Linked DNA regions of Canis lupus familiaris. The main gene of each other region encodes a partner of the protein of the gene in region 2 in a complex. Links are inferred from orthologs where the notes say so. Each region holds a gene or a part of one and is shown on either strand. Other genes may lie near its edges.

What was found.
Region 1: the proteins of DNTTIP1 (region 2) and MIDEAS are in contact, whole or in part, in a cryo-EM structure (PDB 6Z2J), measured with the Homo sapiens proteins. The link is inferred for Canis lupus familiaris from reciprocal best matches to the Homo sapiens genes DNTTIP1 and MIDEAS. Residues at the interface, in NP_443183.1 of Homo sapiens: Pro63, Ser66, Leu69, Leu70, Ala72, Val73, Leu74, Pro76, Ser77; in NP_001036783.1 of Homo sapiens: Gln768, Asp771, Leu772, Thr774, Ala775, Ser778, Ser779, Ile802, Leu803, Leu806.
Region 3: DNTTIP1 (region 2) and ZNF541 share a complex: the UniProt entries of both Homo sapiens proteins name them as parts of the histone deacetylase complex. The link is inferred for Canis lupus familiaris from reciprocal best matches to the Homo sapiens genes DNTTIP1 and ZNF541.
Region 4: DNTTIP1 (region 2) and SAP30 share a complex: the UniProt entries of both Homo sapiens proteins name them as parts of the histone deacetylase complex. The link is inferred for Canis lupus familiaris from reciprocal best matches to the Homo sapiens genes DNTTIP1 and SAP30.

The regions. Positions count from the first base shown.
Region 1 is NC_049229.1:47,301,736-47,306,259, forward strand, and holds part of MIDEAS (mitotic deacetylase-associated SANT domain protein), read right to left. Parts: intron 2,263-4,524; 5' UTR 2,035-2,262; coding exon 583-2,034; intron 1-582.
Region 2 is NC_049245.1:33,724,185-33,729,321, forward strand, and holds the start of DNTTIP1 (deoxynucleotidyltransferase terminal-interacting protein 1), read left to right. Parts: upstream 1-2,016; 5' UTR 2,017-2,054; coding exon 2,055-2,159; intron 2,160-2,740; coding exon 2,741-2,811; intron 2,812-3,685; coding exon 3,686-3,782; intron 3,783-5,137. UniProt on the Homo sapiens protein: Increases DNTT terminal deoxynucleotidyltransferase activity (in vitro). Also acts as a transcriptional regulator, binding to the consensus sequence 5'-GNTGCATG-3' following an AT-tract.
Region 3 is NC_049222.1:109,165,292-109,170,598, forward strand, and holds the start of ZNF541 (zinc finger protein 541), read left to right. Parts: upstream 1-1,858; 5' UTR 1,859-1,903; intron 1,904-1,997; exon of another isoform or gene 1,998-2,038; intron 2,039-2,172; exon of another isoform or gene 2,173-3,055; 5' UTR 3,056-3,217; intron 3,218-4,150; exon of another isoform or gene 4,151-4,231; intron 4,232-5,307. UniProt on the Homo sapiens protein: Transcription regulator which is essential for male fertility and for the completion of meiotic prophase in spermatocytes.
Region 4 is NC_049246.1:24,119,517-24,124,774, forward strand, and holds the start of SAP30 (histone deacetylase complex subunit SAP30), read left to right. Parts: upstream 1-2,010; 5' UTR 2,011-2,324; coding exon 2,325-2,639; intron 2,640-4,294; coding exon 4,295-4,420; intron 4,421-4,842; coding exon 4,843-4,941; intron 4,942-5,258. UniProt on the Homo sapiens protein: Involved in the functional recruitment of the Sin3-histone deacetylase complex (HDAC) to a specific subset of N-CoR corepressor complexes. Capable of transcription repression by N-CoR.

The DNA.
Region 1 (4,524 bases), on a different chromosome or scaffold from region 2:
AGAGAGGCAGAGACACAGGCAGAGGGAGAAGCAGGCTCCATGCAGGGAGCCTGACGTGGGACTCGATCCCAGGTCTCCAGGGTCAGGCCCTGGACTGAAGGCGGTGCTAAACCGCTAAGCCACCTGGGCTGCCCGTGTTGTCATTTCTCTTAAATCAACTTGATTGCAGTAAAATTTACATACAATAAAATGCACCTATTTTTAATTAGTTTGAAACATTTCGACAAGTATAATCACCTGTGTAACCACTGCCACCTTCCTATTTTGGTATATGTGATCTGGCAATGGTTTCACCTGCCCCTACTCCCAATCCCTCATGTGCCAAATGAAGAAGCCAACCCATGATAGCGTATCGCCTGCCAACCTGCGTGTGTAAATGTTATCTTTCCTTCGGGATGAACGACCTATGTTCTTTGCACACAGGGAGTTCAGAACTCCCAGAAGCCTATGGGTTCTTTCAATTTCCTTCAATGAAATGAGGAGACTGCCCTGTAGACTTGCAATCACTTGCTCTCCCCGGGCCCCAGACACAGCTCACCCTGCCCTCTGCCAGGTCAGGCCTCCATCCCATGCCACTCTCACCTTTGCGTTCTGCAGTGAGGCCAGCTCCACTGCCTTCTGGGCCAGGGTCAGCAAATTGGCTTCCTGGGATGCCCGGCGCCTCCGTCGAGTGCTCTGGATCACCCCACCCCGTAGCACCTGCCCACAGTCCCCAGTGCCCACTGCCCGCATGCTCTCCTCGTTGCCCATTGTGGGAGCCTCCCGCTCCCGACCGTTGGGTGCCAGTCTCTCCCCTTCAGACAGCACCTGCGACTCCCTCAGCTCCAGTGGGAATCCCAGAGCTTCAGGATGCGGCTGCCCCAAGGGGCCGGGTGGTGGCTGCTGTGGGGGCCAGGGGTGTAGGAACAGGTTGCTGGTGGGCTCCTGTCCAGGTTGGGTGCCAGCCACATCCAGGGGGGCGGAAGGCAGGACGCCCTCCTTAGAGAGGCGGCGAGAGCGTCGGGGGAAGGCGATCTGGGACTGAGGTAGCACAGGCTGTGGGGCTGAGTCCTGCAGGAGGGCCTTGCGAAGTTCCGGGTTCATGTCAGGGTTGGGGGGGAAGGGGTAGGGCGCCATGCTGTGGTGAGCCAGGTGGGACTGCCCCAGAGGCCCGGCCGGCTGCAAGCCAAAGTCCTGGGGCTGCTGAGAGGGTGGCTGCTGCATGGGATAGAAGTTCTCAAAGAGCTGCATCTGGGGAAGGGCGGCCTGTTGCTGCTGCTGCTGCTGCTTCTGTGGGGGGAAGGCCGCCACGGGGTTGGGGGGCGGTGGGCCCTGCCGGAAGACCTGCCGGTTCACCTGGTGGCCAAACGCCAGCTGGAAGGGCTGCAGGGGCAGTGTCTGGTTGGCGGGCTTCTTGGCCACATGGAAAGAGTTCAGAGGCGTCTGGGGCCTCCCTACATCCAGCTGCATTTTCTGTGGCATCATTGGCCGCACGGCATTTCCGTAGCGGTCCAGCTGCGGCCCACCTCCTTTCTCCCGCTTCAGTGCCTCTGGGTGGTTGTAGTAGGTAGAGACCCCCATGCCAGGATGCGGGCTCCCCTTGGGTCCACTGTAGAGGGGCAGGCTGTGGCGGTTCCATGTTGTGTGGGGTGGGGGCTGGCCTGGCTGCTGCTGCCAGCCACTGTCACTGACACCCCCACCGCCTCCACGCTCGGGGCCCCGGCCTGGAGCCATCACAGAGTTGGGCCACTTGACGGAGCCCACCTGCTGGGACAACATGGCTGCCGTGGTCCGCTCGGAACTGTACACCACGGAGTTTAGCAGGGCCAGGCTGTTGGGAGGGGGCAGCTCCACGGGCTGGGACACGGGGGCGGCCCCTACGGGACCCTCGGGCCCAAAGTAAGGCTCCTCCTTCACTCTGGTGGACTGTGGAGGAGCTGCGGGCTGCTGTGGGGCCTGCAGGGGTGCGGGCTGCTCCTTGGGAGCTGGTTCCTGATCCCCAAAGAGGCAACGCTTCCGCTTGTTCTGAGCCTTGGGCTGGGCCTGGAGGTTCATGGTGTGGCCAACTGGGCCCTGGCGGTGAGCCCTACTTCACCAGTTGCCCATCCCCTGTGGGAAGGTCCTGCTGGAAGCCCAGCTCTTGTCCAGGAGCCAGTGGGGGCAGAGCAGGGATGAGGTCAGACACAGGGAGAAAGAACCGTTGGCTCTTCCTTGCTCTTCGTGGAGAGGCTCTTGGGCTTGTCTACTTTTCCCAGTTCATGATGTTCCACGGGACCCTGGAGCCTGCAGACAGAAGAATGATAGTGTCAGTCACAGCCTCTCAGGATGCCCCAGATGTCAGCACACATGTGAGGGAGGGGCCCAAGTTCACAGAGCAGCCCTGGTGAGGCAGGAGCCAGGGCCCCGGGGGAATTACCAGAAGGCGGCGCTTTGTGACTCTCTTCATCCCACCACCTCACCCTGCAGCATTTGGGTGTGTGATCTGTACACTACACAAAGGCACCTGCCAGGGAACAGGAGAGGCTGAGACCCAGGTGGAGAAGCCCCTGCAGCCAAGGTGGGAAAAGGTGCAACAAAGTCTTCCTCTTAGGCCAGGCCTGGCTACCCATTGGCTGAGCACAACTGTCCAACGCAGTAGCCTCCTCACCAGACCCAGAAGTTTTATCCAGACGGTGCCTCCTCTGATGCTCCAAGCATATCTCAGACGCAGGAAGTGGAAACAACAGGGGTCATTCCTAACTATGCGGTTGTTCCAGGCAGGGGAGCCCACCACGTCCTTGCAGAGTGCAGCACCCAGGGCTAGGCTCCCGTCCTTTGCACTGAGGCATGTAGGTGAGGCTGCAGAAGGGTGTGTGTTCTAGCAACACCCCTGGGAGGAGCTGCTGGGTGGGACTGTGGCTGCCGTAGTCTTCCCTAAACCAGCACAGAACCTGTTTTGCAGCCCTGGCTGGCTGGGGGCAGGATCCAGCCTGGTACCTGGTCAGCAATCCCCACCTCTCCTCCCCTCCCAAAGAGCTCCCAGTATCCAGAGCTAAGGACTAGCGCCACTGCAACATGGAGGAGATGCAGATTGCTAGAATTTAGGCCTGTAATGTTTTTCTGTGACATGGTATGACTTTAACTGTTCACAGTGTCTGTGTTTATTTTCTAACTTGATTTTAAAAAAACTTCAATACACAGGTTGCTCTATTTATCCTGCTACAGGACAGCCAAAATCAAGACCAGCATTTTATAATTTACATGTATTTTTATTACCTAAATGTGTAACTCACATGTATTTTCAAAGACTTTGTCTTTCTTCAGAAAGGGCTTTTTTTTCCTTCCTCCCTGGTTAGTTGGTGAGGGTGGGAGCTACGCGACCTCCCTCTTCCCCACACTGCTAAAATTCTGGTCCTGAGCCAGTCAGGCCAGGAGGGGTGAGGAGGGGAAGCTCAGGAAGCCCGGGGGAATAAATCTGCAGGTCCAGACCAACCTCAGAGCTCAGGCCCTAGAAGCTCCAGGTCCTACTTTGCAGTCCCGGAGTTCCCAGGAAACCAGCCCAGCCAAGGAGGGCTGGGCCAGGGCGGCAAGGGCAGGCTCTCCGTGCGAGGCCCCCTATCACCCGTTCACAGGCTTCCGCAGCTCCCCGGCCCTTCCCCTCTCAGCGCAGCAGTGACTCACTGCAGCCACCCTCCCTTCCCCACCACCTGCCTTTCACTTTCACCAGCACCCAGAAGGGGAGGGACTTCCTCCTGCATTTCCTTCCTCAGCTCCCAGCCCTGAAGCCAGCCAGCCAGAGCTTCCCGTGAGCACCCCCTTCGTCTTCACTTATGGAAGTCGGTGGAGGGAGAGAAAGAGGCTGGGTGGGCATCCAAGTCACTCTGGCCCTGGCGGCACGGGGACAATTTGAGCAGGCAGGGAGTGCAGAGGGCCGCGGAAACTACCTTTAGAACCAACCCCTTCAAGGCAGCTCGGGTGGCTCAGCGGTTTAGCACCGCCTTCAGCCCAGGGCGTGATCCTGGAGACCCGGGATCGAGTCCCACGTCAGGCTCCCAGGATGGCGCCTGCTTGTGTCTCTGACTCTGTCTCTCTCAAGAATAAATAAATAAAAATCTTAAAAAAAAAAAAAAAAAAGAACCAACACCTTTAAACTCTCAGTCCCTGACAGCCAACTCGATTCAGAGCAGAGACCCCAAAGCCAGCCCCCCGGCCCCCTCAAGGAAAATAGCCCTGGGCGCCACAGTGAAGCGGCAGCCTGGGGGCCGTCTTGGCTACAGGAGTTGGCTCTGCCTCTCCAAATGAGCGTGAGAGAGCAAACTAGAGGTCTGCGTGTGCAGAAGCAAGACAGAGGAAGGAAGGATGTGCCCGTGGGGCAGGGGAGGGCGCCGCGCCGAGGAGGGGCTGCAGGGCCACGTGCCTCCAGGGGGCCTGAGAGCCCTTCGGGTGCTCACGTGCACTTGTGCTGCCCCTGCCCTGACTGGCACAGGTGGCCCCCCTTCCCCAGCCACGGGCCCGCTGCCTTTGAGCCAGGGCACCAGCTCAGGGACACCGGGACTGGAGGAAGGG
Region 2 (5,137 bases):
CATTCAGGCCATTTTTGGATTGCATGAAGGCTAGCTGACAGAACCAAAAAGAAGTTGCTATGATTCAAGTAGTCTAGACCATCTATACTCCCTTACTTTATCTCCTCTTCTTCTATTTCGTTTTACTTTTATCTGTACTGTTGACATGTCCTGTCCATGATGACTTTGGTCAGACATGATATTTAATGGTATCCACTGACGTTGCTTGGCCCAGTAAGATTAAAGAGCAGAGGAAATTCAAGGCTTAAAGCAAAAATCTCGGGGCACCTGGGTGGCTCAGTGGTTGAGCAACTGCCTTTGGCTCAGGTTGTGATCCCGGGCTCCTAGGATCAAGTCCTGCATTGGGCTCCCCACAGAGAGACGACTTCTCCCTCTTCCTATGTCTCTGCCTCTCTCTATGTGTCAAATAAACAAAATATTTTTTAAAAAAATAAAAAATAGGGCAGCCCTGGTGGCGCAGCGGTATAGCGCCACCTGCAGCCTGGGGTGTGATCCTGGAGACCCCGGATGAGTCCCACGTCAGGCTTCCTGTAAGGAGCCTACTTCTCCCTCTGCCTGTGTCTCTGCCCCTCTCTTTCTGTCTCTATGAATAAATAAAATCTTTAAAAAATAATAATAAAATAAAAATAAAGCAAAAATATCCACTATAGAGCCAGAGTTTGGTGCCAAAGAGTTGCCTTATTGTTTTAAGGTTGATATTGGACCATGGAGATAATTAACATTTGTTGATAACCTAACATGTGCTTTATATGTATTATCTATTTTAATCCTCACAATAATCTTGCAGAGGTAAGAAAACTGGTTCAGAGGGGTTGAGAAAGAATGACCAACGTCATAAAGCTAGTAAATGGTGGTTACTGGAATTTAATAATAGCAGTGACAGATAGCATTGCTTGGGGGTTTACCTGTGCCAGAGTTCTTCACATGAATTAGCTCACTTAATCCTTAAGTGCAACCCTATTAGTTAGGTACCATTGTCCCCACTCTACAGATAGGGAAACTGAGGCACAGAAAGAAACCTGGATCACACAGAGGGTGGTAGACCAAAGGCAGGCAGACCAATTCCATAGTCAATATTCTTAATCACCATATCATGCTGGATTTGAACTCATATCTTTCTACATTAAAAACTCAGGTACTGGGGCGCCTGGGTGGCTCAGCGGTTGAGCGTCTGCCTCTGACTCAGGTCCTGATCCCAGTCCAGGGATGGAGTCCCTCATCGGGCTCCCTCCAGGGAGCCTGCTTCTCCCTCTGCCTATGTCTCTGCCTCTCTCAGTCTCTCATGAATAAACAAAATACAAATAAAAACTCATGTACGTTTTACTATTCCACATTGTGACCTTGGAAAAGGAACTTTCTCTACTACCCGTAAATCGATCCAGTTCTATTTACGGACATCCTACCTCTAAGCCAGAGCTAAGGGGAGCTTTGCGAAACTCCATAGCTGTTAAACCTCTGCATCCCCGCCCATCCCAGGATCACCTTCCTGGAGAGAGAAGCCCAGGTCGCTGGGGCTTGGGAGAGTCCACGGGCCAAGACCCAACCTTCATTATGATGCCTTTAGATGCAAGAGGCATCCCCTGGAGCCTAGGCCTCGAGGGACCCGGTGGGTGTTTGGAAGGGCATGGGCCAGACCCCCTCTTGAATTTTCGGGTCCCCGCATTAGGCGCACTCTACGGCTTTCAAAGACTGAACTGTGGGCCCCGCTGTGCTCCCCTCCGCACCTAAGCTCCAGCCCCGAGAGCCCGCTCTCGTCCTTCCTGCCCCGCACTTCTCCACCCGCCTTGGCCCAGCGGGGAGCGCTCCCGGGCCAAATACCCACAGTCCGCACCCGAGGAGCCGGCCGGGCCGCAGAAGAAGCCCCCGCCGCGCGGCTCACAGCGCCTGCCTGCTTCCGGGCCCCAGCGGGACGCGGCCTTGCGGTTCCCATGGAAACCCCGCGGCTCGCCGCGTCGCGCTTCCGGGCCGGCTCGCGGCGCCCTCCAATGACGTCACAGGGCCACTTTCCGGCCGGTGGCAGAGTCGGGCTGAGGTTGGGGGGCGCCGGAGGAGCCATGGGGGCCACTGGCGACGCCGAGCAGCCGCGGGGACCCGGCGGGGCAGAGCGGGGCGGCTCCGAGCTGGGCGACGCGGGCGCAGCGGGGCAGCTGGTACTCACGGTGAGGGCGCCCCCGGGAAGGCCGGGGCCGGGGCTGGGGCTGGGCTCGGGCCGGCTGGGCCTCGGGCTCCCGGGACCCTGGCCCGCGGGCGAGAGAACGCGGCGGCTGGTGCTGCCCAGGGCGGTGGCGTTTTCGCAGTCCGACCACCCGGATTCAAATTCTGGTGCCGCCCTCCAGGCTAGGCGATGTGAGCCGGTCCTGTCACCTCTGAGCTCCAGTTTCCTCTTCTGTAAAATGGAGAGGATTGGTGCCTGCCTCGTAAAGTTGTTACGGGGATGGGGTGTAAAGGCGAGCAGAGCGCCCAGCACGCTAGCAGCCCCAGAGTGGTCCCTCGGTAAACACTGGTTCCCTTCCCTCTCCCATCCCAGAAAGGGTGGGGTTGGGACTTTTCCAGGCAGGAAACTTCAGTTCCTCCACCCCGGCAGGACCTTTCAACCGCTGCCCTCCCGCCTACCCGAGGGTGGGAGAGATGCTGACAGTACCTGAGAAGCAGAGGTGTCCACGTTTAACTTCATACTCACCGTCCACCTGTACCCTAGTGTCACAAGCCTCGGTGACATCTGTTCCCTTGGTCCCCACAGAACCCTTGGAACATAATGATAAAGCACAGGCAGGTGCAGCGAAGGGGCCGCCGCTCACAGATGACAACAAGGTAAGGCTGGGCCTGAGTATTGACCTCCCCGGCATTGATTGGCTTGGATGGCACCCTTGGGGTCCCCACTACACAGAGCTGAAGAGAGATCAGCAGCTGTTAGAAGGAGCAATGGACTAGGAAAAAGGAGACTCGGCTTTTGTCACTCTGGATGTGACCTTGGTTGAATCATTGCCACCTCTGAACTCTTGTACAAAATAGGAGGAATCATGAATTCAGCAGTGCCTAAGATCCTAACACTCACTCGCTCTGTGGTTGAGGGCTCTAAAGAGGCAAAATAGCATAGAGGTTTAGAAAAAAGTGGGGCTGGGGCACCTGGGTGGCACAGTGGTTGAGCGTCTGTCTTCAGCTCAGGGCATGCTCTCAGTCCAGGGATGGAGTCCTGCATCGGGCTCCCTGCATGGAGCCTGCTTCTCCTTCTGCCTGTGTCTGCCTCTTTCTATGTGTGTCTCATGAATAAATAAAATCTTTTTTTTTATTTTTTTAAAGAAAGAAGTGAGGCTAATAGTAGTATTTATCTCAGTGAAGGGAGAGAGCACAATGGACCCATGGGATCCTGATTAAATTTCTTGACCTGAGTAGTGATTAAGTGGATGTTCACTAAAACTATTTGTTAAAATGAAAAAAAAAAAAAAGTGTATAGACTTTGTATTTCATAAAACACTTTAAAAAATAATACTTATTTTGTAGGGTTCTTATGAAAATGGAATAAAGCCATACATATGTTTCATTTGCACAGAACCTGGGCACATAGCTTGTTTTCAATAGAAGCTATTACTGTTATTAAAGGAGCCTGTGTCAATAATTGGCTGGGCAGACTAGGAAAGATATGTTTGGGACATGACCCCTGACTGTGTCTCCCTCCTGAATGCAGTTTCACAGATCCTGCCATTTCCATGGACCTCCTTCGAGCTGTCCTGCAGCCTAGCATCAACGAGGAGATCCAGACGGTCTTCAACAAGTATATGAAGGTGAGAGGTACAGAGATGCAAGGGCAGACCTTTCCTACATTACAATCCCCCTCGCTCTTTTTGGTACAAACAGATGAGTCAGGTTTTCCAATTCTGAATCCCTGAGAACTTTTTTCGCCCTCTTTAGAGGTAATTTGAATACCTCTTTCGCCAAGCTATTATGAGGATAAAATAATTTAAGTTTAATGTGCTCTGCACCATGTTACAAACAAGTGTCTTTCTTATTTGTTTAACAGGATCAACATTATTATTATTTAAAATTCCTTTCTAGGCCTATAAATAAACTTCCACATGACTCTACCTGATTGTCCCCTAGATGCTTGAAACAGCATGTCCAGAGCTGAACTCTTTCTTCCTAAACCTCTTCCTCTTATGTTTGTTTATTCATTCAAGAAGCATGTACTGAGCACCCACCATTATAGCAGGCACTGAGGATGCAGCAGCAAACAAAATGAACAGTGTCTCTGCCCTCTTTAAACAAATAAGTACTATGCTAGGAAATGCCAGAGAGAAGGGGGAGAGAGTAACCAGTGGGGAACAGTAGTGCTGTTTCATAGATTGTGTCCAGGAAAGCCACATGTGAGCAGACACCTGAATAAAGGGAGAGAAAAACAAGCTGTGTGGACACATCAGGGGAAAACACCCCAGGCAGAGGGAACAAGAGCAGACACCCTGAGGCAGGAGTGTGCTTGGACACTCAAAGCAACAAAGTCTCGGGCAGCCCCAGTGGCTCAGCGGTTTAGTGCCACCTTCAGCCCAGGGTGGGATCCTGGAGACCTGGGATCAAGTCCCATGTCAGGCTCCCTGTGTGGAGCCTGCTTCTCCCTCTGCCTGTGTCTCTGCCTCTCTCTCTCTCTCTCTAATGAATGAATACATAAAATCTTTAAAAAAAAAAAAAGTCTCCAGTGTGGCTAGAGCAGACTGAGCCAGGAGGAGAATAAGGAGAGGTAATCAAAGAAAATAGGGGCCCAGTTCATGCAGAACCTTTGAGGCCATGGTAAGGATATTGGGGTTTACTCTGAGTAAAATAGAGGCCCTTTTAGACTTTTGGGCAGAGCACTGGATCTAAACTTTTTTTTTTTTTATCTAAACATTTTTTTAATATTTTTTATAGATTTTATTTATTCATGAGAGACACAGAGAGAGAGAGGCAGAGACACAGGCAGAGGGAGAAGCAGGCTCCATGCAGGGAGCCCAACGTGGGACCTGATCCCGGGTCCCCAGGATTATGCCCCGCCAAAGGTGGCGCTAAACCACTGAGCCACCAGGGCTGCCCTGATCTAAACATTTTTAAAGGGTCAGTCTGACTGATGTGAATCACCTGCAGGAGAATCAGTTAGGAGGCTTGAGAGGAT
Region 3 (5,307 bases), on a different chromosome or scaffold from region 2:
TATATAAGTAAAAAAAAAAAAAAAAAAAAAACTCTCCTAAATTGAAAGGTGTTTAATTCCTGTCTTTGCAGAACTTACAAGGCGTTACACAATCCATGCCTAGTATACCCTTTTCTTTGTCCACATAGATGCAGCCACATTGGTCTCTGTTATTATTCAAATGGATCCACGTCTTCCTGTCTCAGGGCCTTTGCACTTGCTCTTCCACCAGCTATTTTTAAAATCTTTTCCTTCAGGTCTCTGCTCAGTGTAACTTCACCAGAGAGACCGTCACTGACCTGTTATCAAATAGCATCCTCTGATAATCTCCGTTCTCTTTTCTTCTTTAAAGTATAACCACATTGCATTCTAAATGTATTTTCCTGTCTCCTACTGGAGGTATGCTCTTCAGTCCCAGAGTCACTAAGCTACCTGTGGCTCTACTCAAAATGTGACTGCTCTGGATTAAGATGTCCAGACTTTCCAAAAAAAAAAAAAAGGAACTTATTAAAAATTTTGTATTGATTACATGCTGAAATAACATTTTGTGTTTTTTTTTTACAATTTTATTTTTTGACACACAGAGAGAGAGCATAAGTAAGCAGTGGTAGGCAGAAGAAGGAGAAGCAGGCTCCCTACTGAGCAGTGTGACCCATGCCAGGCTGGATCCCAGGGCCCTGAGATCACGACCTGAGCCCAAGGCAGGTGCTTAACCAACTGAGCCACCCAGGTGCCCCAACATTTTGGTTTAGGTTGTACTATTAAAGCTAATTTCATGTCATTGCATCCTGTATCATTTGGACAGCGCTGCTGAGAACACAAGCTCGAGCGGGAATGTGCGTCTGACTCAGACATTGCTCCGTCTGCTCTATCTCAGATCAGAAGCTCAATAAATATTTGCTCAATGAAGGAATCCAAAAGTAGAATGCTGGTCTTTTTCTTATCCTCTCTGTTCCGTCCGTCTAACCCAGGGATCAAAAAAAAAAAAAAATCAAATCAACAAAACTTTACTGAGATATTATTTCCATAAAATCCAACCTTTTCTAGTGAATTCAGCACGGCGTGCAACCACCGCCGCTCACTTCTAGAATCTTTCCATCACCCCAATCAGATGCCCTTATGCTCCGGTACGGGGGGGGGGGTCCCCATTCCCACCCAGGCGCCTGCAAAGCTGCTCTCGAACTCCTCAGATGGTCGGGGTTCACTTCCTAGGGGATGAGTTGCCCGTCTTGGGGGCTCTGGGGTAGCACCCTCAGGCCACGGCTCACCCCGGTCCCATCCCTCCGCCCAGCAGGACCCAGCGGGGAGCTGGACCCCCACCCCCACCCCCACCCCCGGCACGACGGGGCCGCGTAGCCGCATCTTCCCAGCCCACCGAAGAGCAGGTCTTCGCGGCTCCCGCTCGCGCCGCGGCTGCCTCGAGGGACCCCGAGACCCGGCCGGGCGGGACCCCGCCCTTGCAGCCCCCACCGCGGGCCACCGCAGCTCGGAGCGGCCGCTGGGAGCCCGAGTCCCCCGCCGCTGCGTTCTAACGCCGCCCTCCAGGAACAATGGCCGGAGCCGACCGACTCCGGGCCTCCGCGTGCGGGTGTCGGGGAGCCCGGAAGGCCGGCCCCTCGCCACCCCCGTCCCCGCCCCCGCCGCAGGCCCTTCCCGGGCTCCACTTTGACTCTCTCCCAGCCTCAACTGCCCCCCTCGCAAAATGGCGACCAACCGCCTCCTTTCCCGCCTGCCGTCGGTCACCTGACCGCACCAAGCCCCGCCCCTCGCGTGGCCCCGCCCCCTCCCGTCCGAGGCCCAATAGCTGCGGAGACCTCGCCGCCGGGCGGCACGCGCCGGGAGCCCGGGCGGCGCGAGGGGCGCGCGAGGCCGCCCTGGGTGTCGTGGGGGGACCCGCAGCCACGCACGCGCGCCCCCGCCGCGGGTGAGCGGGCCGCTCCGGGGGCGGGCTGAGGTGCGCGTGCGCGCCCGGAGGCGGGCGGCGCGAGGGGGGCAGGGGGCCGCTGGGAGGCCCGCCCGGCGCGAGGCTCGAGGCCGGCGCGCGAGCCCCCGGGGGCGGGTAAAACCCGGTTGCTGCTGCCCCTGCCCCCTCCCTTTCCTCCCTACCCCCCCCTTCCCGCCCCTCCTCACTTTTCAACCCCTCCCCCCCCTTAAAATCTAATTCGTTTATATATTTGTTTTTTAGGGGGCCCATCTCCCTTTCGAGGAGCGCAGCAGGCGCGGCGGGCGCCCCTCACCCCGCGTCACGCACGCACCTTCTGCACCCCAACAGCTCCGGGCCCCGCTGCACCCCGCAGGCCCTTCGCCCTTGGAGAAGGCTCTCCTGGGGGGGCCCCTGGCCCACTGCATCCCCTTCCTTACCTCCCCCGCCCCGCAGGCCCCAACTGCCCCCTCGCAGCCCCCCCCCGGCTCGCGCCTCGGGCCCTACCGACCTCGGCGCTTTCTGCACCGCGGCCTTGCATTCGCTCTAGCTTCCAGGCCTTCTGCTAAAAATCACCTTTCCTCCTGAATAGGGGACCCGAATTTTTCTTTTAGGATCTTCCAGCAAAACCAAAAATCTCTTCTCTTCTTTGATTATACCCTTCAACCTCCTTTTAGAAACTTTCTCTAGCAAAAAAGAATATAAATATATATATATATTTTTTTCTTTTCTGGATTTTTCCTCCATTCAGGATCTCTTTCCAGCAAAAATTTTCTGCCCACCAAGAGCCCCCCTTTTTGTCCTATCTTTCCACTGATAGCAGAGGAGCTCTGTTCTTCCAGTTTCTCATGTAATACTTGTTTTTCCAACGCTCTTCTCGACCTCTTCAGCAAAAATCCCTTTTTTGTCCATCACCAGTTTTACCCCAATTAGGCTTTTCCCAGCAAACCCCTCAGGTCCCTTCCCTAGGAAGGAAAGTAAGGAAAAGACAAAAATAACTCCCTTAACTGCAAAACCCTTTCCCTATCTAGATCTCCCCAATTTAGTATTGCTTCCTTCCTTCTTCCAAAAATTGCCTGTCATCCCCACAGTTTCACACCTGTGTGCTTGCTTCTTTGGGGACCCAAGTTCTGAATGCCCCTTCCTTTCCACCAGCTGCTTTCAGGACACAAGAAGTTGGATGAGTGTCCTGAATTTGCTACCCGGAGTTCCAGGAGGAAATATCCAGTGGTCTGACGGTCACCTGAACCCCCTCCCTGTGGGTCCTAAATTGGGCCCTCCTGTTCCCTGGAGATTCACTCATTTGTTCTTCTCCTGGTGAGTTTTCCCCTTTGCCCCTGTCCACAGATCCCTTCTTTGTCAGGATTCCTTCCTTTCTCAGAAGGATTTCTAATTGGCCCAAGTCTCTGTACCGATGATGAAACCATTATAAGTTTCTGCTTTGTGAGGTCAGATAAGGAAAAGGTTATGTATAGTGCATATTGGTAAATGCCTGCAGTGTGATGAACCAAAGGTCACGTGCCCCATCTAAGTGATACCAGTCAGTGGAAATGCCAGGACAGTGTTGCCAGAACTTTAAAAAAAAATTGTTTTTGAGAAGAGACACTATATTTATGTCAAACCTTTTGATCTGTAAATGGTGACAATGAATTTAATAGGTATTTAAAGGCAGTGTGGAGCCCTTACAAAACATGCCAGCTGGCCACCAGTTTGGAATATTTGGTTTAGGGTTTCTTTCTGTGTAAGACTTGCATACACAGATACTCACCCACTTGGGCACATGTGGATGCAGGACTTTTCCTCTTTACAGCCACAGTTCTCTAGCTTTTTGATCTTAGGGCTCCCCCCCTTATATTTAAAAATCATTGAAGATCCCAGAGAATTTGTGCACGTGAACTCTATACTGCTGATATTTGCACTATTAGAGGTTTAATACGTTTTTAAAATACTTATTCATTTATTTATTTATGATAGTCACACAGAGAGAGAGAGAGAGAGGCAGAGACATAGGCAGATGGAGAAGCAGGCTCCATGCACCGGGAGCCCAACGTGGGATTCGATCCCAGGTCTCCAGGATCAGGCCCTGGGCCAAAGGCAGGCGCCAAACCGCTGCGCCACCCAGGGATCCCTACTTATTCATTTAAAAATAAGTGATAAGCTTATTATGTTAACAAAATTGACTATTTTAAATATTTTTTGAAAGATGATATTTCAGAAAGAAATTTCGTGAGAATAGTGGCATTGTCTTACCTTTTGGAGTCACCTAGAATCTTATTTCTGCTACTGCATTCAGCCTTTTGAAATATTCCCTGTAGCTTCTGGAAAGTCTCACTGAGAATGAAAAAGGCAGGTAATGTCTGAATATTATTATGAAAATAGTTTTGACTCGAAGAATCCCTGCAAGACTCTGAGGACCCCCCAGGTTTCCCACCCCCATCCGCCTCACTTGGAAAACCTGCTGTTCTAGATGTTAATGCTTATTTGTATTTTATGCTAGGATCAGCTTTTGGAATGAGAAGGCTTGAGGTCTCTTTTCCTCCCTTAGTTAATTCTATGTGAGAAATTTTCTTAGAAAGCATAGTCATAGTTTTCTGATTCCTCCTTGTCTTCTATCTAGTTCTTAATGTGAGCTGTAAATCTGTTCTTTTAATGAGCAGAAGAGATGAGTTACCCTAATGGTTTAAATTATAATGGTTACATGATCAAGGGAGGGAGTGTTCTTTGGTTGTTCAGCTTAGGAAAGGACGTACGGCACATGGGGCAGGAGTCCCAGTCTCAGGTGTGGAATCCTACCATAGATGAGTGGTTACATGTGACGGTTTTGACATCAGAATACCCGGGGTTGAATTCTAACCTTGATCTTGGGCAGTTACTTAACTTCTCTGGGCTTTATTTACCTCATCTGTAAAAACAGGGTTAAGAACAGAGGATGTGCCTCAAAGGAGTGTTGTGGGAATTAGATGATCCATAAGTGATTCCAGGAGTGCCTGGCATAGGACAAAGCCTCAAGTGTGTGCTGCTATTGTTGGTATCTATATTGATCATAATTATAGGGGCCAGACAGGAAGAAAGCAAGGATCTTTGGGAACATCTGTTCAGAAATGGCAGTTATCCCTCATCTCTGTCCTACTAATAACTATCACGAAATGCAAAATCTAATAATTTTCAAGAAAAGCCAGAAATTAATATATCTAGTTGAAATCTCCCCATTAAAAAAAAAGTTGGTGAATGGGACGCCTGGGTGGCTCAGCAGTTGAGCATCTGCCTTTGGCTCAGGGCATGATCCCTCCCTGTCCAGGAATCGTGTCCTGCATCAGGCTCCCTACAGGGAGCCTGCTTCTCCCTCTGTCTGTGCCTCTGCTTCTCTCTGTGTGTCTTTCATGAATAAATAAATAAAATCTTTATTT
Region 4 (5,258 bases), on a different chromosome or scaffold from region 2:
TATGTGAACCACATATGTAAACATTTAAACGTTCTTGTAGCCACATTTAAAACAACAGGTAAACTTTAATGTTATATTTCATTTAAACCAGTAAATTCAAAATATTATCATTTCAACATATAATCAATATAAAAAGTATCAATGAGCCATTCATTATAGTTTTTTAAAAACTTCTAGTACTAAGTCTTTGAAATCCTGTCAGCAGTTCTTACTTGCAGCACATCTCAACTTGGGTTCTAAGTTTAGATTTCACAAAATTTAGATAGAAAAAAAAATGTATTCATGTATCTAAGCTGTTCCAAACACACTTGAAGTCTTTACAATAACTGAAATCTGTTTTTTAAATTTAAAGTTAAATTAACAGTTTTTCAGTAGAAATAACCACATTTCAAGCTTTCAATAGGCACATTGGGCTATCAGACACCCTACTGGAGAGTGCAGCTTAAAAAACAAAACACAAGACGCACCTGGGTGGCTCAGTGGTTAAGCATCTACCTTGGGCTCAGGTCACGATCTCAGCGTCCTAGGATGGAGTCCCGCATGGGGCTCCCTGCAGGGAACCTGCTTCTCCCTCTGCCTGTGTCTTTGCCTCTCTCTCTCTCTGTTTCTCACGAAGAAATAAAATCTTAAAAAATAAAAAGGGTAACACAACATACTTACCATGCAGCATCTTCCTTTTGCTCATTCAATTTACGTAATAATATCTTAACGTTTTGTTTTTGTTTTTGTTTTTTGTTTTTCCCTTTGCCATAGCCTAGAACTGAAAAGCACAGACGGAATGGATGGCTTTGAATTTCAGGGCAGATGACATTTAGGTTTTTTTAAAAAATCATCTATCACTAAATTCACTCAGCAAGCCTGAAAGAACTTGCAAAAGAACCTGGTTCGTATTTTTATTTAAGCCAAAGGACGGCTAAACAGGACACATCCGATACAGTCACAGTGACGCGCAGCAACCGGCAAAGGCGCACGCGCTCCTATCAGCCGCTCCATTCCCCGGCCCCGCCCCCTACAAGCACGCGCCCACGGGCACGCACGCGCACTCACGCACTCTACACGCACAGGCGCGGGCGGATACACACACACACACACGCACGCACGCACTCTACACGCACAGGCGCGGGCGGATACCCCAGGAAATGCGGGTTCTTTCTGGCCTTTCACTCCGCAGAGAGAACGCCGGGAAGTTTCCGAGGAGCACTCACGCTAACTATATCGGGGCTCCACGTCCCCCTGGACAGGGTCCTGGATCCCACTTTTCTCTAGGGCCTTTAGAAGAGAAACGGTGAAGGTTGGGTGGGGGTGGAGGCGGAAAGAAGCCGCTCCACCGCAGGAAGCGGCCAACTTTGATCGCCCCAAAATGAAACCCGATCTTCGCAGGAACGTGCAAGGATTTAAAAACGGCCTTCAGCTGAGGCACTTGGGAAGCGGCCCTGTCACGGTCGAGGTCGGAAGGGCGTTTTTGCCTCAGCTGGTGTGTCAATGAATGGAACTGTGACCCGGGACCTGCGGCATCTCCCGGACCCGAAGAGCGCCAGCTTCCCCGAGTTCTCCTTGGTTTGGGTGTCCCACAAAAGCATGGCCACACCAAAAATTCTTTTTCCACAGTAAGAAAACGGCCCCGAAACTTTTTCACGCCGCACCTTCCCTCCTAGCTTCCCGCCCAGAACATTTTGCGCCTCGCCTCAGGAGCGGGGTGGCCGCTTTGTCTAGTAGAACGCCAACACTGCAGAATCCCGGTAGCGAAAGACGGAGCAACTTCCTGGGAGAGACTAGAAGCGAGAAAACATCACCACCCCTAACCACACGCCCCTGTTTTCCCACTGACTTAAAATAAATAAATAAATAAATTAGCAGCCGAAGCCCTGCCCGTCGCCGCGCGATGCATGCTAGCATAAGTAGTTCCAAGGCGCCCAGTTCGGGGTGGAACTCAGAGTGATTCCCCCTCAAAGAACTACAATTCCCATGGTGCCCTGCCACACAGTGGAAGGGGCGGGGCAGGAGAGGGCTCGTCGCGCGTGCGCAGGTCGGGGGGCCGGAGGGAGGCGGAGGCGCCAGGGTCCAACTGCTGAAGCGTCTCCATGTGACAGTGACCGGAGTCCTAACTCCTGGCGCCGCCCGGTTCTGGCTTCTGACCCCAAACGCTGTCCCCCATCCCGGCGCCAGCGGACAACAGCAGACCGGGACGCCTGGTGTGTGGCGGTGCCGCTGGAGGAATCGCCCCGGCGGGGTCAGGTGTCTGAGGGACCCCGCGGAGACCCCGGAGTCTCCGCAGAGAGGGGGAGCGGCGAGCCGAGCGGGGGTTTCTGTCGGCACGCGGAGACATGAATGGCTTCACGCCTGAGGAGATGAGCCGCGGCGGGGACGCGGCCGCCGCAGTGGCCGCCGTGGTCGCCGCCGCCGCCGCGGCCGCCTCGGCCGGGAACGGGGCAGGGGCCGGCGCCGGGGCTGAGGTGCCGGGTGCCGGGGCGGTGTCGGCTGCTGGGCCCCCGGGGGCGGCCGGGCCGGGCCCCGGACAGCTGTGCTGCCTGCGGGAGGACGGAGAGCGGTGCGGCCGGGCGGCGGGCAACGCCAGCTTCAGCAAGAGGATCCAGAAGAGCATCTCCCAGAAGAAGGTGAAAATCGAGCTGGAGAAGAGCGTGAGTGACGGCGGGACGGCCATGCCCTGCCCTGCTCTGGGGCTCCCGGAGCGGTGCCGACCGGGGTTCAGGGGCGGACGGTTCGGGGGTCCCCTAGACCTGGCTGTGGCGCGAGCCCGTCGCGTGGTCTCGGGTAGGACGCGAACCACAAAGTCGCCGCAACTCGGACCGCCTCCCCCGCAGACCCACGCCAGCCGGCCGCGGGTCCGCTGCTCCCCCCGCCCCCCCCCCGCCTCCTCTCCCTCGCGTGCCCACCCCCACCCTTCCTACCCAACCCCCGCGCACCCCCACCCCGTTCCGGGTGTCCGCCCTGCTCGCCGTCCAACCCCTTCCTCCTTCCCTGAGGTCGGGACACGAAACAAAGAGCACCGCGGCTCGGAGGGCCCGGAGTAGTTTTCTTGCAGCCTGTCCGCTCCTCCTTTGTTTTGCTGCCCAAGCTGGCGCGTGGCCCCGGGGAGCAACCCCCGGCTGTAGGCAAAAGTGTAGTCCTGCAAGCGAGGCCCTGGTGCCGCGGTGGAGACCGACTCCTCTGCTCGTCCGCCGGGTTGCGGAGGGAAGAGAGCCGAGCTCACCCCGCGCGGTGCAGACCGCCGGGCTGGTGGACGCCGCCAGCATCCAGCGCAGCTGCCGGGAATGTGGGGAGCCCGCTGCCTCTGCGGCGCTGCCACCCCTTCGGCAGCATCCGGATTTCCTTTACCGTCCTTGTTGTACACGTCCGTTTCTTGTGTTTCTTTGACCATCTGTGAGGTTTTCAGAAACAACCATTGGCACTTTGCGGAGTTTTGGCTGGCGGTGAATGGATAACAAGATGCCAGAACCTAGCATACGCCCTGCATAATTTTAACTTGGACTTCGTTTACAAGTTAAATTTCAAAGCCTTAGTCTTTAATCGCTTGTTGTTGTTGTTTTTTAAAGGAGTTTAAACTGTTAATAATGCAGCCCAGTATTTCAGATGTTACCATACAGCGCTCAAGACTACATTTAATTGAAGCTTTTGCAAAGTTTGTGATCTATTATGCCTGTTAAAGAGTTCTTCAGTCATGCTTGGGAGACACTTCTCAAGTAAACTTGAATAGTTTCACATTGCCTTTGGTTGAAAAAAACGTAATACAGACAAATACATTCATTAAATACTCAGAAGCTTGTAATTCAGATGTAAATATAAGTAGTATATGAAATCGGTAGCTCGTTTGTAAAAATGGATAGTTTTGTATCTGGATTATAATTTGAGTACTGAGAAAGGATATGAAGCTACTAAAATGTGCTCTTTAGAGAAAATACTGTCAGTAGCAGAATTGTGGGCAACATCATCTTTCCACTTATTAAAAAAACAGCGTGACCTAACAAATCTAATTCACCCTCACTACAGTTTAATTAAAAAATCCAGACAATTGCAATTTCTCATTCTGCTTGTCTGCTTCCCTTCCTTCCTTCCTTTCACTCCTCCCCACCCCACTCTCCAATCCTCTTAACCCTATTGTCAGACACGGTATGTTCTAACTGAATACAGGACTTAAGCATAGAAATATGCTGTTGTCTTAACAATGGCCTATTTTGACTTTTTATTTTTAATAATTCACTGTGCCCTATGTATTTTACTAATACGTAGACACGTTACATAATAATAAGTAGTCTGTGAAACTTTTTTGTTTTAGGCAAGGCATCTTTACATTTGTGATTATCATAAAAACTTAATTCAGAGTGTTCGAAACAGAAGAAAGAGAAAAGGGAGTGATGATGATGGAGGAGATTCACCTGTTCAAGATATCGATACGCCAGAGGTAAAGTTTCTGTATGTTAAATGTAAATCCTAAGTATTCCATTCTGAAACTTCTATTAAAAGATAGGAACAAATTTTAAAAATACTTAATGCGAAAAATCTGAAAATGAAAGCAAAATTAAATATAGCCAATTAATAGGCAGTTGTAGTTTGACTTATGTTTTCAATTCACAATGCTTATACCTCTATTGCCTTCTTTTTTTGCTCCCAGTTCTCAGTATTTACCTTCAAAAGATTGAAGTGCTCTATATATTTGTAGTTTTGATTATGTAAAAGAAGTAATGGAATGGAATTAATTAAATAATGTAATTTTTGTTACTTAATTACATTTTTGTTGTACCAAAATTGAAATGCTATTATGCATATCAAAGATAACAATTTAAAAATTGCATGAACTAATTCTTACATGTTTATTTTTTCTAGGTTGATTTATACCAATTACAAGTAAATACACTTCGGAGATACAAAAGACACTTCAAACTATCAACCAGACCAGGACTTAATAAAGCACAACTTGTTGAGGTATTTATGAAGTTTTAAATGAGCCTGTTTATATAAAAAAGTTATTAAAGGCTAATGAAATTGTTAATGTAGTACGTATAACAATACAGCTCAGTTAGAAAGATCAGTTAATAAAAAATCTATTGTGGAAGAATCTAGTTTCCTAGAAATGTTTGTCTGTCTCTTAAATTGCTTTATGTAACAACCACTCAGTGGATTGTATGTAGCTTTCTAAATATCTTTTAATACTGGCTTTCAGAAATAGCGGGTAATAATTTTTAAATTCTCATTCTAGAAATCTGTTGGTTTTAAAATTCCACTCAGGAAGCATTTTTTGA